Linked DNA regions of Drosophila melanogaster. The protein of the gene in region 2 interacts with the protein of the main gene of each other region in a pairwise test. Each region holds a gene or a part of one and is shown on either strand. Other genes may lie near its edges.

Region 1 (3,107 bases), on a different chromosome or scaffold from region 2:
GGCTGAGAGCCGTCTGCGTAAGGTTCCATCCAAGATGTCCGGAAAACCTCAAGCTCCTGATCTCAACAGTGACGAGTATTTCCCCAGTCTTAGCAAAGCACTCAAACGCACCAAGTAGCCGTATCACGATGATATACTCTTTAAACTTACCGTTTCTGTTGTTCACTATGTTTAACGATATCAATTTTTCTGGTCGATCTGATGCGGGGTGCCTCGATTAAATAAAATTGAAAGCAATCAGCAAGCCCATCTGTTTTAGTGGTGTTTTACTCGTAAACAAATTTGCACTCAACAGGCCCATTAGCATTACACGTCTTTTTGGCTGGTCCCCGATGTATCGTTAGCCGTAAACGAGCCAAATATTTACAATCAAATGGGGTTTAGCCTTAAATGCACCCGGCGGACTGAAAAGAAAACCAAAAACGGCAAATTACGAGATGGAATTTTGTGATTGTTTCCACAGAATGCATGCCAAATATTTAATTAGGTTTGCTAACTGTTGATAGCAATACATGTGAAGTGAAATTAAAGTGGTCTATTTTTGAATTATACGTATAATTTATTAACATCTATTTCTGATGGCATAATCTTTCATCGAACACAAATCTTTGGATCCACTTTGCCTGACAACTTTTCAGCGTGGCTCCTCATCTTCGACAAGGCCTCACGGCTGCAATCTTTAAAGCTCCTGTTCCAGATCGCGGATAAAGAAACCCTACATTCCTTCTAAGCAGGCTAACAATGTCCACCATACGGCCCGTAGCATGAGCAGCAACCATATGGGCCACAAGGACCGCAACAGTGGTTGACCGAACGGAACCACTGGCCATTGTAGGGTCCGCAGAGCAGGCAGGGTCCCAGTCCGCCAGTCGGTCCACAGCAAGTGCCGGGCATCGAGCACATTCCTGGATTGCACATTTTATTCTGAAAACGAAATGAAACGAATCGAGGATATTTTCAAGAAACAAATTCGTTTGTTGTTCACACTCACATTAGCCTGATTACGGAAGTAGGATTTTCAGTCCTAGAAATTTGGTAGTCGTACAAATAGATGTTTTCTGTTGGAGAACCGAAACTATAATGAGCTAAAGCCACTAGCTTGGTCCACAAAGTTCTACAGATTTAACTTTGATTTCATGGCCTTCTATGTTGTGGTTTCATGGCCTGCTTTTAAAATGCTTTTTTCCAAATTTTAAAATTTGATTAACTATATATACAGTTAGCCTCTTAGCCTCTTATCTAATTCGCTTTAAGAATTTTAATTCATAAAACCGTTCCCGATTGTTTGTGTGTCCCATAAAATTCCACTCCATTGCTCCTCCAAAAATACTTCAGTCCGTCCCGAAGGACTTCCCATTCCCCTAAAACTCTCGATGTCATAATTTAGCCGAAGGCGCAACAAGTCGGAAAAGCCAAGCCGCGACTGATTTTTCCTCTTTGCCCCACCTTTCATTGTTTTACCAAGAGCAGAGTTTTCTTAAGCATTTTGTGTTGGGCAATGCACACAAACCTATTTTTCTTCACAGCCGGGATTCCGTCTTCTTGTTTACGGACAACAGAGCCGGGATTCGCAGTCAAAGTGAAGTAAAGTCACTTGACAAGTTTTGTCACGTGCGTCACATGTTGGAATGTCCCCCAGCCACCCAGGCCACCCACTTTTCCGACTCTACCCATATTTCCACTCTGGCTTCTGAGCATTTGGAAGCAATTTTCCAGGCATGCCTTGCCGCTTCTGTCGTTGTCGTCATTTCATTGTTTCAAAATTGTTGCTCATGTTGTTTCTGTTGTTGACCTGGTTCTCTGTTTTCTTTTCTTTTTTTTTTGCCACGTTTCTTGGTTACCAACCGGTCTGCTTCAACTGAAAAGAGCTCTTGCTGGCGTAAATGTGTTTGTGATTATTTAGTTATGGCATCTAATTGAGTTTGGTGTTTGTTTGGCTGGCGCGGGAGTGTGCAAAGTGTGCTTATGCAATAGCTAATTGAGTCGATTACCCCAACACTTTTCACGTTTTCACCCAAATAAGCTGTAAGGCTGAGTGTAAATTAATCCATCTCGAAGTTCCTAATTTTTATGAGTTTAAGAAAATAAGTAAAAAAAACTCTGAAGGATGAAGAATTCTGTACATTTTACAAGTTTATTTACTTATAAAGCTCATGTACATCGATTTTCCAACATCACTATCTCATCTATTACTTAATCGAATTAAATGAAGGAAAGGCCAAGAAAATTTGATCGGATTAACTTCTTATCTTTTACCAACATTAAATTAAAGCACTTCCGCCCTTCGTAAATAGCCCGTTCGTTTGGTGGCCTTTTGGGTCTGGTTGAGCTTATTTTCTGTTCCGATTCCGGAACCCCGAATACCCCGGGAAAATTCCCGTATCCCCTTCCGTAACCAAACATCATCTCCATCGCGTGTTGGTCTCGTATTACAGCATTGCATATTCGCAGGCGCGTGCGCTCCCATTCGATTTGAACTCCATGGCGACTTTAAGGAAAATGCATCGAAGAGCCGAATATGTTGTGACTGTGAAGCTTAATGTTTCGTGTTGATGTGACTTTTTTCCACTGTTTTTTTCCGGCTTCTTCGCTGGTATTTTTACAGTTTTCAGCAATGCCTTTTTCAGCCCGCTCAGAAGTTCAATGTCCCCCATTTTATGAGCGTCCGTGCAGCGGAAGTTTTGGAGCGATAAGTTTTTGGTTCCGTTCTTATGTTTTTGATTTATTTGTTTGTAACTCACAGCTTAAAAGCGGAAGAAAACTCCATTAAAATGTTTAATCATAACTAATAATGCATAATTGCACAATAAATTTTAAAATATACATACATATGAGGAAAGCTACAAGTGCTCACATAGATTCTACATAGTCAAATAGAAAACTTTATTTAATTTAAAACCATAAAATATTAATTATTCATTTATGTAACTTATAAATAAAAATTAAACTTAATACACAATCTGTACTCTTTAAAATATAATTATTACTATCGACAACAAAGGAAATTTTCGGGTAGTAAAAATAGATTTCTGATTAATAAATTGGCAAAATACCTTCAAAGGAAGTCTGTTGTGGTCACTTGCCTGTCTGAATAATCCAGCGATGGG
Region 2 (8,033 bases):
ATTGATTTATGTGCTTAGTTGGTTCGGCATTTTTAATCGGTCCCCATACGATACCATATGATACCAAACCATACCATCCATTCTCATCTCCTCGTCGCGTTTAGTCTGTCCCCACTGTGTTTGTGCGCGCGGCTTCATTTGGTTATAATTAAAATGTCGATGTTATCAGCCAGATTTGGACATATTGGCCATTACGTTCGAAATTTAAGCGTTTTCTATGCGCGTATTTTGGATTTGGATTTTTTTTTTTTTTTTTTTTTTTTTTGATTTCGATTTCGTTTGGCTTTTTGTTCTGTCTTCGTTCGGTGTATTAATATTTAATAACGTTTTAAGAAGCTTTCGAGTGTTGTTAAATGCTTATTTATGCTTTTCGGCCGTGTTTGGTGTGTTTGTTTGTTGCCCAGTGTGTTTGAATGGATAATTATGCGTGAAATCGAACGTATAAATTGTATTTGTTGTCAAACCAAAGCGAGTCTATACAAACCGATTTCCTGGTCATATATTTCTGTTTGTTTATTGCCGAAAGAAAGTAAACGATTCTTCATTATTTCTTGCACTTTTTATTGGTTTCTCACTCAGCGGTTGACCATTTTAGTTTTTTTCTTTTATTTGAGCCAAAAACACTTAGTCTACGCACTAAATATCAGTTCAAACGCAACCAACTCAAGAATCAAATCCTTAAACAATACGCATTCATAAATAGATTTGGCTTAGGACTATTTTAAAGTTTAAAGTTACATATAGTTAGATATTGCATATGCTATAGCCTTAAATGGTGATGAGGTAAGTCGGCAGCCGGCGAATGAACAAGTATTATAGTATAATTATGCATAACTATAGGGTATACAATGGGCATGTGCATTTCAAGTGGGACAAGCGTGTTCGTATCGGGTATTAGTTACAATTTCAGCTAATCTTAAGCCGCCCATTATGTTGTTGCTGCTGCTTTCTGCTACATTTTTCTGTTTACTTTTTTCTATTTTTATTTAGTTTTTTTTTTCTTTTTTCTAGCGACCCCGAACCGCAGCCAAGTAGGTGAGCAGCATTTTAACTTTGGTTTTTCGATTTGTTTGCCCACTGTGTGTGTAGTCGCTTCTCGTATTTCAGTCCACCAGTTGCAATTTCAAATGCAATTGCAATTGCATCAGTAGTTGCTGTTGCTTTTGCTGCTTTTGTTTTTGTTGCCACTGTCAATCACAGAGGCGCGCACAACTCAGGTTTTCAATTAGACTTTGCCGCCGCCCATCTAGACCAGGTGGCCCTTGTCGCCCATGTCGCCCATCTAGCGGTCATGCTTTAGGAATTGCAACGTGGCCGGCGCATCGGAGGATGACAGGCGAGCCACCTTTGCCGCCGTTGCCGCCGACGACTCAATTTCACCATCGGAATCGTCGTGCACGTTGATCTCCTCATCCGAGTCCGATGACGAGTTGTCCACCGTCATGGTTGAGCCGCCAGATTGAGTGGTGTTGGTATTGGGTCCCGTGCCCTCACCACCGCTCCCCAAACCACCTGCGGAGTAGTGCAATCTGGAGCGCTGCTCCTCGGCGACCGTTAATGATGCAGCCACGGCATATTGCCTGGCCAATCCCAGGAAGGCAGCCGCCGAGGGCGAGCTCACCAGACTCCTGAAGGCACTACGCTCCCCGCCCATGGAGAGGTGATTCGCCGCCGGATTGCATCCACTGGGTGAGAGTTGCTGTTGTTGTTGATGATGTTGCTGCTGCTGCTGCTGATGCTGCTGCTGTTGTTGCTGTTGCTGCTGCTGGTGGTAGTGGCTGAGCAGCTGGAGGGCAGCTGGATGCGTGGGTAGGTGCAGAGGATGATGGTGATGGTGGCCGCCCGGAGGACCATGCAGTGGGTGTAACAGCACCGAAGGTGGCGGACCCTGTGGCGAGTGGTCACCGCACAGGGGCAACGGCTGCTGAGGTGGCGGCACGGGAGCCACTGGAGCGGAGGTGGAGGCACTGCTGTGGTTACTGGGCGTGGGCGAACTGGCCGGTGCATCGTTCGACTGCTGCGAGTGCAGCGGATTGGCGGGACTGGAGCGCTGACGCTTCAGGAGATTCATGCGTTGGTGGCGACGCCATTTAGCCCGGCGATTGGAGAACCACACCTGGAAAGGGTAGAAATAAATGATATTTAATAAAGATTAGTTATTTGAGGTTTTGGTTAATTGGCTTTGAAAGAGGTAACTCTAATTTCTGATATAAAAGTATTGATTTACTCATTAATTTAAATCAAATGGTATGTAACTACTTTACTAGCCACTTTTAATCTTGCTTTTTGAAAGTTTTGAGTGAAGCCTTTGTTTTCACCTGACTCACCTGAACTCTTGCCTCGCTCAAGCTGGTGCGACTGGACAACCGCTCCCTGGTGCTCACACAAGGATAATGACTCTTGTCGAACTCCTTCTCCAGCTCCTCCAACTGCTCCGGACTGAAGGTGGTCCGATTCCGCCTGAACTTGGGCTCATCATCGTCATCCAGATAATCGGAGTCTATGTGCCGGTTCTCATCCGCTGATTCCAAGGTATCATGGCTGCCAGAGCCAGGGGAGATGGCCCGATTGGTTGGTGTGCCACCTGCTCCGCCGGCCATCAAGTGCGCCGAACTGAGGGAGCCACAAGTGGAGACGGGCACAGCGCTCGCTGCACTCGGAGGCAGATTGGCGAGCGTGGGAGCGGCAACGGACCACAGGGCGGATGGAGGTGGCGGTGGTGGTACCCCCTGGCCGCCGGGCACATTGCCGGCCGGATGCCAGGTGAAGCTACCGTACGGATGAGGGGGTGGCGGGTACAGGCCATAGGCGGCGGTGCGAGCAAACTCGGTGGCCACCCGCTCGGCGGCTCGATTGCGCAGGATGCGATTGATGCTGCTCACCGATGGAGCGGTGGCATTAGTGCAGACACCTGCAAGGCGGGATTACGCAATTACCGAGCAGTCGAAGATCGAGATCAAAAGCTAAAAGCGACCGCCGATCAATCAGCGTTCAATCTGCGTCCGCGGATTAGCTGCAATTATGTGGAACACTCACCCTCCGAAATCAGGCGTTCTCGTATCTCCCAGGCGAAGATCGTTGGATTCTCGCGCTTGTACTGTTCGATCTTGGAGACGACCGTCGGCGTGGCCACCTTGGGCTTTGAGCCACCAATTAAGCCCGGTGGTCGCAGCGAGCCTGCAAGAATCAGAGCACAATTCCAGTTAAATTATGAGACAATGGATTTATGACTTTGCCAGCCTGGTTTTGGCAATCCATCTGTTTTTGGCTGGCAGCAAGGATTAACCCTGGTTGCTAATATCTTTATCTGCTCGTTTCATCAACATGTGATGTATGGAAAATATGAATGGGAAAACAATACAAGCCTTGGCAAATACACTGGTAGAAACCAGAGCAGCTCAAGAATTGGAAAACTTAAAAATGAGTGATTTTAACTACTTAAAGTTACTGTAATGACGGGTTTAAAAGACTTAAAAAATTCTAAACATGGAATAAATGTGATCACATATCCTTATTTGGAATTAAGCATTTTTTTCTTTCAGTGCACGGCAGCACGCACCAACCAACACTACCACCAAGGAATACCCGCTCGTGAATAAGCCGCATTTTGATTAATGAGCCAGCCGCGTTTTGGCCACCGCCAGTCAGGAGTTTATGCAATTTTAAGTGGCCAAATTACACGGCTGCGCACACGAGGGATACGCCACGCAGGGGATGGTAGGGGCAACTCGCAGGATAATAACATGTTTATCATAAAAATTAGCAAACAAATCGAAAACAAAGTACCCATTAGTTATCTGATGAGGGAAGGAACTGAGAAACTGAGCGGTCGTCCCTTTCAAGGGCTCACAACTCACCTAGCAACTTGGAGACAGCTCCCTGCTGGGTTAGCATGTGCTGGGCAATGTCATAGCCACGCAGTCCACCGAAACGTGAGAATTCCAGGAGGCGATGCTGTGACATCAGGGTGTTCAATGTGCTCCCCGTGGGTCCACCTGCACCGTGCGGAATGCCGCCAGTGGAGCCGCCGCCGCCAAAGCCGGGTGGTATTTGCACAGATGTGGGTGATGTGGATGTGGCCCCTCCGCCACCGGCTACCGCTCCCGATCCCGCTCCGGCCGCCGCTGCTGCCGCTGCCGCTGCTGCTGCTGCTGCTGCTGCCACGGATGCCGCCGCTACTGCAATTGAATGATAATTGGGTATTGTTATTTTATTGTGGCTTTAGCTGTCGCGGCCACAATGGTTAATTATGATAAATTAAGCGTTAATTGTGTTGACCGAACCGAAATGACTGATGGGTCCTACGAATATATTAGCGTTTCTATTACCCCAGCAAATGTCTAAGCTGATCGAATGGCCAAAATGGTGGCGACACGCAATCGAATCTTCCAGGCACGAGCAGATTTATCAAGCTAATTGATACGACAATGATCTCTTAGTACAAAAGGCGAAAATTAAAATATGTACTCAGCTGGATACGAAAAGAAAGCAAAAAACAAGTAGAAAAACAACTGTGTATTACGTTAATTCGACAGAATATTATATTTGCCTTCGCTTAAAAAACCTACATATATCATTCGGCTTGGGCAACTCGTCGCTCAAATTGTCAATTAGCGTTTTAAATGCGCGTTTCACTTTTGTTGTTTGTCAAGTAAATATTTTTAAAAAAATACGCGCACCTCCAGTCGTGCCTAACTGAATATACATATATGTAAGTATATGGGCCCATAATCAATTGTGCCGCCCATCAAATGAGAACCAGTTTTGTTTATTTCGGTCTATTTAAAGGTGAAAAGCAAGGAAATGGGACTGTCAAATGAGCCACGCAATTGGTAATGTGACATGCGTAACGATTTGTGTTTGTTTTAACTGAAGATTTAAGTTGGAATAACATAAAACATTTGTTATGAACATACTAAGTACGAACATGACAAATTTTAATCGCTTTCTTATAAATGGCCCACATTGTTTAAACTAGAAATATTATAAAGGATCACACTTATTTTATCTTCTGTTTAAGAAAATAAAAAGGCACTCAAAGTTAGTTTTACATAGACCTTTGTATGATCAATTTGATAATTTACATAATTTATCTACCATATACCATTTAAATAAAAAATTGTTTGTTTTACAGCGAAAAGTTAACACCAACTATATTCAAACTAAATGGATCTGGTTAAGAATTACACATAAACACATTTGACCCAGTTTGATACTTTATTTAATACTTTAACCGAAACACCGTTTTAACACACTAATTTAAACGATGCTTAGTTATTAGTTATACATAATTTCAATAATAGATTTTAGGTTTTATCGCGAAAGAACTAATTTGTTTAAATTAAAATTCGAACATTCCGGATTTGCTATCGAATGACATATTACACCTTTGACCCAGTTTCGGATTTATTTTTTGAAGATTTGTGTATATTTTCTTAAAATCCCCAAGCCTGGCTTTGCCGTCGGCAAGACTTCACATGGGCACTTTGGGGCACTTACCACTGGAAGCGTGAGGGGCCAGCGATGTGATGCGTTGGGGATGGGGCTCCATTTTCCAGTGCGCGGCCGAGAGGCCAGAATTAGCGACAGTAAGCGAGCCAAGGTCACGGTTTAAAGTCGGCTCAATCAACATGTCTAAGAATCGCTCTTTCCAATTCTCTTTATTATTTATTGTTATTTTATATTTGTTTATTTTATTAATTTTATTTGGGTATAACACAATCACAGTCACAAGTGTCGCACATCCAAGGCAGAGGTATCGATTATAGCGAATGCAACCGGAAACGGAAATGGAAACGCAATGCGGTCAATTGGATTCATAGCGTGCTGCTCACTCACACACTCGCATACACACGCACACAGATACACACACAGTGACAAATGCACGACAGTCGATCCCGACAGAAACAGTTAGAAAACGCTCCTGCGTATCTCTTGCTCTTATTTTTATTATAGAATTTGTTTTTATCGAATTTCTTGCGAACACTGCGCTCCGTTGAAACGTTGTTCACGCGAAAGCTGCTCTCAGCACAATGAGCGCTTGAATTTCACCTGGTCACCCGGGTCACTCCGCTCCACTCGAACAGTTTCACTCCGCTTTTGAGTGCTTTTCGAAACGCCAACCGGTTTACGAGTACCGTACTTTCATAATGGCGCCCGTTGAGGCAAACTCTTGCTCTCTCGCTCTTCTGCGCGAGAGCGGGACAACCACATGCACACTATGCGCGCACACAAATCAAACAATTATAAACTCGTTGTTGGTAAAGTGCTGAGTATAAACAGTGGCAAGAAGAAGAAGAAGAAGCAGACGAATGAAGAGCAGTGAGTGTGAGAGAGAGCGAACGCTTTGGGGAAGTGACAAGAAGAAGAACCAGAATAAGAAGAGAAAGAGGAGTTGGGGAACCCTTTAATTTTAACTACAAATGTAGTTGGGATACCATAGCACGTTTGAAGTCAACCTTTAGGTGCATTTCTCGCCTAATGTAATATTCTAATTGATTGAATTAACCGTACAGCTTAAATTGTACCATTTAGGAACATTTAGTTCGTAATCTTTACTGTTGAGTAATGCATTCAATTTATCGTTACTTTAAGCCAGAGACCATGGCCCCAATAAGTAGGCACTTTCAAATACCAACTCTTGATTATCATATCGATCTGTGTACAAATGAGCTACATTTACAAAAGTTCATGCATATGTATAATCTCTAACAATTAAGGCTAAAGACTGAAAAGAAGTTTGGCTTTTTGCTTACACTTCTAAAATAAATAATAATAATAAAATATTTTATTTCGAAATTATTAAAATAGCTGTAATATTGTATCAATAAAATGGCAGTATGGTATGTTTGTTTTACTTTTTATTTGATTCTACTCAGGAGAAAGACAAAAAAATATATATAAATAATTGGTAAATAATACCTCAGCAAAATATAAACATTAGCATTATAATAAAACAGAAAAGCATTAAATTGCTTCCTTTTTGTGGACTTCATAACTACTATTCCGCTTTTAAACTGACCAATTGCAATTAAAACTCGATTTTTAAACATAAACTTATTAAAAGAAGATTTAAGCCTGAAAGTCCTTTTTAAACAAACTAAATCGTTTATTGCATTGAAAGATAACATAAAATGATCGCTAAATAACAATAACTAAAATGCCTGCAATTTAAAAGAGCTTAGTAGCATATAGCCATTTGAAAGGAATTTTAATCCGGTCAAATGTGCAGTGAAGTGGCCAAATTGCATCCATTGCGATCCAGAGTGAACCTTGGACACGTATAAATCGCATGCGTGGCATGGGCCGTTTGCCATTCAGGTTTGCACTGCCCGTTTTGGGTCGTTGTCTCCCGGCCTTTGGTGCGTGATGGATGATTGATGTGCTGCCTGGGCAAGGCAATCCGATGTGAATCGAAACTGCAACTAAACTACACATGGCGTGATCGGGGAGCCACACAGATCACAGCTCGCAGCTCGCAACTCTCAGAACAGAACGGGGCAGAAACGGGCTACACCAAGTGGCAGAGTGGCCTGCACAGAAGCCAAATTGCATCAAAGCCCACGGATTGAGTGGCTCCCGGCGATGCAGGATTCGAATTGGAAGCTGAAAGATGAAAGCTGAAAGCTGAGAGTCGAGTTAAAAAGCAATTACCTGAAATGATTCCCCAATGGAATGAGATGGGATGAGATCAGTTGGGATGGGATGGGATCGGGTGGAAAGAGGAGCGAGTGCAGAAATCTGGATGCGAAACGATATGGTTCAGCAGAATCACCTGGCGATAATGAGATGTCTCACTAAGCTGATCAGAACTGCCTTTGTATTTATTTGTCTGTTCGAATGCAAAGTGCACAATGCACCGAACACTCGTGCATATATGTTTCTTCGATTTGTGAAAGGCGAATCATGAATGAAACGCTGCTGACGATGACGTTCGAGTGCCCTCATGCCAGAGATCCAGAGCAAACGCAAACAATCGAACAGGAATAATTTACTAAGTAAATAATATCTGGATACCGATCGCTGCACGGTAA
Region 3 (3,524 bases), on a different chromosome or scaffold from region 2:
CGCCCCTTGGTTTTCCATTTTTTTTTTTTTTTTGGGAGCGAAAGCAGATGTAAAACTTCTGGCAAAGAAAAAATGCCATGGCAAAAACAAAAAAAAAGAGGGGGAAAAAATATGAATGAGGCAGCCTTCTAGGCAAATGTGTTCAACATGGGGTAACACTGTGGGTGTGCTAGCTGGTTTTTCCACTCTTTGGCTTTGAAAAGGGGGCCAGAAAAAAACAACGCTGGCCAGAAAGTTAAAAGGTGGCCCAGGGGCCCATGCGACACATGGCCGAAGCATATAGAGAAATGTGGGTCGGGAACACGTGGCGGCCATAACTGGTGCCGACTTCATCGATATTTCATTTAACCCTTTAATAAAAGATATGCCCGGCTAACTTACTTCATAACTTGTCGCCGCCTTCGCTCTCCGTGCTCCATTTCGATTTTCCCAGGCGGTTAAGAAGTTTTCGAGAAAAGTTTAAGGAGCCTCCGAATCTAGCCGCTGGCAAATTGAAATTGATTACAAAAGCAAAACAATTGAGCGATATGTATTTTGTGGCGATGAAACGGAGGGGTTGGGAAACAATCCGAAATGTTTATTTATACCAGGCATTTTGGGTTCGATCGGTGCCCATTTGCATAAGCGACCGACCAGCTTATTACACAATTTAATATGGAAATGACGCGGCGCGAACTTGAACCTCATTTTCAACGGCAGTACAGCTCAGCTGGCTTTCAGCTTGTGCTCCGCCGATTTGCGCTGTTTGCGTATGTAGGTCTTGCAGTAGAAGTCGAAGAACATGGAGAACATGAAGATGTTCTGAATGAAGCCGATGAAGGCGATGAACACGGGAAACTGACACGGATTCCGGACAATAACGAGCAGGAAATGAAAGGTGAGGTAGCCAAACTGCATCAGCTGCAGCTGTGTAATCCGCTGCTTCCACCACAAAAGATTCTTCACCGCGCCTAATGAGGCGGCATAGTAGTAGGCATACATCACCGTGTGCACCAGGAGATTGATTATACCCAGCATGCTGCAGTGTGATCCACCCAGGAAGGTCATGAAGATGGACACGCCGAAGACCATGCCGCCATGGTGATACACGTGCAGGAAGCTCACCTGCGAGTTCTTCTTGCGCAGCACTATGAATACCTGGGAATGCATTTGTATATGGGTATAGAAGGTATATAGACGGTATATAGCCCCCAACTAACCGTGTCGAGCAGATCCAGATACTTGAGCATGTAGTACGCATACGAGGCGTACAATGTCTTCATCATGGCCGGTGATCTGTCCGTGTGATCCACTGGCTGGCAGGTCCAACTGTATCCCGGCTGGAGGTAGGTGTTGCTCAGGCCAATGACGAATATCGTGGCATTGGCCAGCACCTGCACCACATTGTACACCTGCATCACACGTTTCAGCTCAAAGGGAGCACGGTTCGCCATCCAACGTGGTCCGTAGTGGAGCACAAAGGCCACATACAGCGCCACAATGGCCAGCACGATCCATAGATTGCCCAGCAGGGGCAAGTGCGCCACTCGGGGATCTCCGTGCTCGGCGTACAGATCCCTGACCAGGCAGTACAGGTAGGCCACCATGTTGTGCCGCATTCTGGATCCTCGATTCAAAAATACTCCCTGCCGAACTGCCGGAAAGCGATTTGCAGTCCACGAGACACGAGGGTCTTCAGTCTTCTGAACGGAACTGCTCGAAAGCACAGTCTATCCAAGCATTCCGGCTGGCTATGTTAATGACCGTTAAATGAGAAGCACCACGCATACCGGATTAACCCGTGTCAGGCGTTGCACTGCCAGAGAGATTCTCGTTCTTTGTCGCCGGTTTATAAACTTGGAACTGCTTTGGGTTTACGCTCAAAAAACACTGAAGGAAAACGGGGCATAAAACCACACTTTCAAGATCAAGTGCCGATCATCTTTTCCATAGTTGAAATTTCTTAAAAGACCTAAGCAATCTCACTATGAAAAGAAATTGGTTATCTCTTTTCTAAAAAAGTTGTGACCAAATTGTGCCACATTTTTTCTTTATCTCTATGAACTTGTGCCTGTCAGGGGGTAAACAGGGTTTAGCTATTACTTGACAATGTATGAGAATTTATGGGCTATAACCAGCCGCTACGGAAACTTTGCTGAGTGGGAAAAAATGATGCTCCAGCGGGCAAATGTTGGTGGCGGTGGGTGGTGCGGGCTGTTAGCTGCGGTCGATGGGTGGTGACATCAATTTGGGTTACTCAACGTTAATCGTTTGGCTCGCAGCTTGCGGCTGCGAGATATATGCAACTAACCCAGTTTACAAAGCATGCCAATAAATTTGCAGCATAACTGCCAATATAAGCGCAACTGTTTTGAAATTAAGCCAAAAGCGAAGTGAAGGAAAAGCGGAAAAATGGCGGTAACGTCAGCTGCAGCATCTAGTATCCGGCATCCCGAATCCAGTTCACCAACATTCACCATCCAGTGACCCACTGAGCGACTCCGCCATGCTTGATAAATTCGCCAAGTCTGTACAATGGCTGTAAATAGCCGCGGGCATCGGACAAATGGCTCTTAAAAACAACAGCAAGAGCAGCGGGAGCTGGAGGAGCTAGATGAACTGGAAGAGGAGCTGGAGATCGCAGTCGAGCCAACTCAGCGAAATAGGCAAAAGTGTTTTACGACCTGGCTTGCAGCGCAAACCGAGGGCCATGCAAAGGAGCAAAGGAGCAAAGTAGCAAAGGAGATGGGCTGCAGGTGGCTAATCAACCTGAAGCAGGTGCAATTTGTTTGCGCAACGTGCAAACTTGGCAAGCATTTTGTGGTCGAAAGTTTACAGTTAAGGAGCTTCAGTTTATTTCGATAAGTAAATGTGCCAATTTATAGAGGAGAATCAATCAAGGATCTGTACGAAAAGTTTACCTTATTGGCTATTAAACAAGGCCAGGTGGGCTAAGTTGGGCGAGGCCATTTCACTTACTTTCACTCGCGTGTCCTTAAGCCGCAAGTGATGCGATATGTGTACAGCCCACACACACACACACACACTCACATGTGAATAAGAGTGTCCTTGGGGCTCCTGCGGTGACCTTGTTGTGCGGCAGACATTGAGCCAGCCAGCGCCAAAACAATCATTTGCATTTCACCTCCCCACGGACAATGTAATGGACGTCAGCTCATTTGCACAAATAAGCCATAACCGTCGCACGTTCCCCTCCGATTGGCGGCCATTTTCGGAGTTACAGGACGACAGGACGATGGGACTTCAGGAGCGAGGAGCCGCTGCCAGTGGCGTTGCAATAACGGTAATGGCCGCGGTAACGACAACAGCAAACAACAGAAATAATAATGATAATCATTTTGCGCGCACCGGAAGTATGCAAATATACGACTCGAAGGACCAAGACGTTGAATGTGCGGATATATACGTATATCCGTATATCCGTATATACGGGCATGTGCGGATTCACGGTTATAGGGCTTTTTGGCGATGCCCCGGCCAAAGGAAAAGGAAAAACTCTGGCCTTAACAGGTCGCCCTGAAAAT
Region 4 (4,584 bases), on a different chromosome or scaffold from region 2:
GAAGAGTGGCTACAAAACCAGTCAATCAATTCACAGAAAATCGATAAGAGAAGCGGTTGGTTCATGACAAGATAACAAAAAAAAAACTGAAAATACAAAACAAATGTTCTATTTGATGTTGCAAATGAGAAAAATAAATAAAACATGTTATGTGAATAAATATGTGTACAATTTGAATGGACATTTGGTGCTGCAAATTGTGGGCAGCTTCAACGAGATAAGTTTTACATATGTATGTACATATATGTATGTATGTATGTATGTATGGCCAAGCTAACTAATGTAATAATAAATTAACTCAACAAAATCGCACCAAATGACGAATGCGATTGCAAGCTGTACTCTTTGTTTGATTAATCAAATGCGATGCTAATCACATTTATAACTCGCAAAACATACAGCTAGCCAGTTTAACGATTGAACGATTGACGGCGTTCCATTTAAATGTGTGTACATAGTATAGAGGATCAGATACTCTCTACTATTAATCTCTACTATTAAATAAAAAAGGCATAGCTACGCTAAACAATAGTTTATAGTTGGATAGTTATAGCATTGTTTCACAAATAGTATTATTCGCTTTTAATTATATCTGAGTTCCAGTTTGATAATCATTTTCTTTTTTTTGTTTGCCTTGTTTCTAGTTAGAGAGGTCCCACTGTATACGAGCAAAGTACAGTTCCACAGTCATATACAATACTTTATTATCAATCAGGTTTAGGTTGTTTACATTAACTACAAACGTCAGTTGCGAATCGGAATGAAAATAAAAGGAGGGATGATAGAAAATAGAGGGGTTTTGATATATCAGCTTGATGCCGGAATACATATAACATTTACAGCTTGGGCAGACCCGCCGAAATGGAGCTCTCGATGCCGCAATGATCCTGGCCACGCAGGATGCGGAAGAAACCATGATCGCCCCAATCGGTGTTCCACGAGTTACCAATTAGCCAGTACGGAATCTTCTCCTCGCCCCAAACGCCCCAGCCCAAAATGCGAATGGCATGACCGCCCAGCTCCTTGCCATGCTCGTGCTGATAGACACCGTCCTTGTACAGAATGAGATCCTCATAAACGGTGAAGGCGCCCTCAACCGGTCCATTGGTCATGATCTCCTCCTGAATTTCACGCACATTACGCCTCACCGAGTACGACTTGGAGCCGAAGTGCTTGTCCTTGGCATAATCGACGGTGTAACCGCTCTGGCAGACGTGCGAACACTTGGGCGTTCTACCGCCATGGGCACATGGTGGTCGGGTTCCATTCACATGGTGCTCACAGGGAGAAATCTCGTAAGGACGGCAGCCCTGCAAAATAAGTGCATATTAGAATCGTTTTTTCTTCTGTTTGCCTTACTATATCTGGGAAATGAGTTAGTAGCAGCTAAAACTTATCGTTGAGGATGTACGCGAATCTGGAGTGCATTCACAATATATGCATGTATATCTATAGATGTTCGTATATGATATATATACATATAGCTTTGTGTATATGGATGTTTGTATATGATATACTAAGCCGCTTTCTAGCGATATCTGTGGTATACAATTTTTTATGGCGTCGTAAACTGAGTCTTCAGTTCACTTCAAGTAAACAAAGAACAAAATCAAGTTGCTTTCTAACTATTTCGGCGTAGAAATACAATATGTACAAATACAGGTTATTTTTGCACATAAAGTATGTTTTTCTTCGTTAGAAAACAAACCCTTTTTTTTATTGGAAACTCATCTGCAAGCAAAACCAAATTGCAAGCCCTTTTAAACCAAACTAAATATGATTTGCAAAATCCCATTAAAGCAGGAGAAGATCACCAACCTGATTAGATCCGTAGGGTCCTCCGCTGACGATTCCCTTGCGCGTCCAGTAGCTCCAGGCGGCGCCGGGGAAACCGCCATTGCAGCCAAATCCGCAGGTGTGGCAGCAGGAGACGAGATCATCGGCCGAAAAGTGGAAATTCACCTTGCCGCCGGAATGGATGCACACCTGCCCATTGCGAAATCAGTAAAAAAAAAAAAATCATTGATAACAAATACAAAAAGAAAATAATAATAAAAAAAAATGGGGAAATTTATCAGCTGGACAAACAAAGAATGGAAGGGGTTATAATATCGATAAGGTAAGCTACGTACGCGATCGGACATGGCTTCCACGGCACCAAAGGCCCAGCAGGAGCCGCATGAACCCTGGTCGCGAATCTCGCCAATGGTTGGGCAGTTTGGCCATTGCTTGCGGGAATCGAACTCTTCGGGAAGTTCGTCAACGCTATTCACGTATAGATCGCCAAGAACTTCACGCTTGTCGGGCAGTGCGAACTTGTGCGCATCCGGATGGACGCCCATCAGGCGGCGAATATGTCCCTCCGTTACGGATGCATCGAAATTGCGACCCACCTGGCGGATAGGAAACGGGAAAATGCAATTTTCTTGTCACGTCAGCAAGAAAAGGGTTGGAAACAAAGGAATTTACCGTCCAGGTTTTGGCCTTACTGCGCACCACCTCGATGAACTCATCCGAGAGCAGTGACGGCTCACCGGACGTGAGTGCCGCCACGGAGGCCGCGGTGGCCACCAGGAGCAATAGATTCATTATTCTTGTCCAACGAATTTCCAATGCGCTGACACAGCAAAATTCAAACAAATCACAGCAGTAAAATGGTGGAAAATGACGCGTCGTATTAAGCGGGCTCTCTGCTCCGTTCTTGTTTTCGTACTGCCCGTGAAATTCGGACGGGTAATGCTCTTTAAGCGTCTATTATTCTCTTGTTTTTGTTCTGTCGCACAAAAAAAAAAAAAAATGGTTCGCGCCCGCTGATTACGCGGCCAGTGTGTGCACACCAATGCAACAGGGCCGTTGCCTATCGAATGTAGAGATGGGCGCGTGATTGGTAACTAGTCTGAAATAAATAAACGCATTATACTAAATAGCACTTCACTAAATGTACTTAACTAAAGACTACGATCACACTAATGCCAATAAATATGCTAAGGAGCACTGTTACTTGAAAGGTGGTTTATTTGCATTTATTTATTTCCATTCGTTGTCGTGGTGCTTAAAATCAGAACTATCGGTAGGCCATCGCAGATAACAGAGCTCTGTTAGCTGTGCTAAGGTGTGGCCACACTGGCTAGCTATATTTTGATAAGGAGCTCGCAAAGATGCGGATTTTCTACGGACTACTGGCGTTCCTGGTGGCCAGACAACACGATGCCCAAGCGATACAGGCACGCAGCGACAAGGAGCAGCCGCAGACTGTGGTCTCCGGCACGGCGGTGCAATCGGTGGTGCCCGTTCAGGCGCAACTGGGCTCCGGCATGGGACCCTCCTCATCGTCATCTTCGGCATCTTCCGCCTCGGGCGGAGCTGGAAACTCGGCCTTCTATCCACTGGGACCGAATGTGATGTGCTCGTTTCTGCCGCGCGACTTTCTCGATTGCAAGGATCCCGTCGATCATCGGGAGAACGCCACGGCGCAGCAGGAAAAGAAATACGGATGCCTGAAGTTCGGTGGTTCCACGTACGAAGAGGTGGAGCACGCCATGGTCTGGTGCACCGTGTTTGCCGACATCGAGTGCTACGGTAATCGCACCTTTCTGCGCGCCGGAGTGCCCTGTGTCCGCTACACGGATCACTACTTTGTGACCACACTGATCTACAGCATGCTGCTGGGTTTCCTCGGTATGGATCGCTTCTGTCTCGGTCAAACGGGCACGGCTGTGGGCAAACTGCTTACCATGGGCGGCGTGGGCGTTTGGTGGATCATCGACGTCATCCTCCTGATCACCAACAATTTGCTGCCCGAGGACGGCAGCAATTGGAATCCCTATGTCTAGACGTGTGTGATATGCCTCTGTGTCATAGCTTTAAGTAGTTAAATAAGATTAATCTTGTTCACTGATTAATTCGTAGTGTTAGGAAATTAAATTAACTTGCCCCTTATTTCATTATAAATACCTTTGTTATAAAATCATTGAAATTAATAATTTCATACATATCTATTAGATGTAAAGTAAGGATAAATAAATATTTAGAAGTACAGTTAAATAGTTTTTATATGCCTAAGACAATCAAATGACTGCCTCTTAAACCAATTGTTTTTTTAGCTTACACCAAAACTACAGCTTTGATCCGTGCAAAAATGCCCGCATAGCATCAAAAGGGACGTTTTGACTTTGCACAATCGTTTTTATTTTTAATTTTAAAGTATATTTTGTTCAATTCGAATGTAGCGCCACAGCTGTTCCAAAATTTGTTCAGTGGATCCATTGCATTTCCGACAGCTGCTTTCCATTGGGCTATCGTTATCGTATGATGGCTATCGTCCTTCGCCATCGGGAAATGGAAATCGAAAGTTTCGCGTTCAAACTCGAAAGTCAGTTGCAAGAAAGCTCGCCAACCGCGCGGTCAACGGAGACTGGCTGAGCTGAGCGGGCGCTTTCTCTTTTATTTTTCTCCATTGACGACGCTGCGTGCGCGTCGCATCTCTCCCGCAAGAAACGGCAACAACAATAAGCACTGCGCGGTGCATAAATAAAACAAACGAAAATATATAATTGTTAGCCGGGAATTTATGCAAAATACACA

The links.
Region 1: the proteins of eyg (region 2) and CG34168 interact in a two-hybrid assay, tested with the Drosophila melanogaster proteins (one large-scale study listed by BioGRID).
Region 3: the proteins of eyg (region 2) and CG6660 interact in a two-hybrid assay, tested with the Drosophila melanogaster proteins (one large-scale study listed by BioGRID).
Region 4: the proteins of eyg (region 2) and CtsB interact in a two-hybrid assay, tested with the Drosophila melanogaster proteins (one large-scale study listed by BioGRID).

The regions. Positions count from the first base shown.
Region 1 is NT_033779.5:16,134,171-16,137,277, forward strand, and holds CG34168 (uncharacterized protein), read right to left. Parts: upstream 1,103-3,107; 5' UTR 992-1,102; intron 925-991; 5' UTR 919-924; coding exon 736-918; 3' UTR 544-735; downstream 1-543.
Region 2 is NT_037436.4:12,461,987-12,470,019, forward strand, and holds eyg (eyegone), read right to left. Parts: upstream 6,036-8,033; 5' UTR 5,633-6,035; coding exon 5,500-5,632; intron 4,179-5,499; coding exon 3,858-4,178; intron 3,178-3,857; coding exon 3,037-3,177; intron 2,912-3,036; coding exon 2,328-2,911; intron 2,117-2,327; coding exon 1,283-2,116; 3' UTR 551-1,282; downstream 1-550. Other genes in the region: CG32102 (uncharacterized protein), read right to left, coding at 7,171-7,437.
Region 3 is NT_033777.3:22,921,533-22,925,056, reverse strand, and holds CG6660 (uncharacterized protein), read right to left. Parts: upstream 1,706-3,524; 5' UTR 1,587-1,705; coding exon 1,200-1,586; intron 1,138-1,199; coding exon 706-1,137; 3' UTR 532-705; downstream 1-531.
Region 4 is NC_004354.4:13,779,341-13,783,924, forward strand, and holds CtsB (cathepsin B), read right to left. Parts: upstream 2,831-4,584; 5' UTR 2,590-2,830; coding exon 2,470-2,589; intron 2,394-2,469; coding exon 2,133-2,393; intron 1,987-2,132; coding exon 1,819-1,986; intron 1,311-1,818; coding exon 837-1,310; 3' UTR 507-836; downstream 1-506. Other genes in the region: amrt (amaretto), read left to right, coding at 3,159-3,833.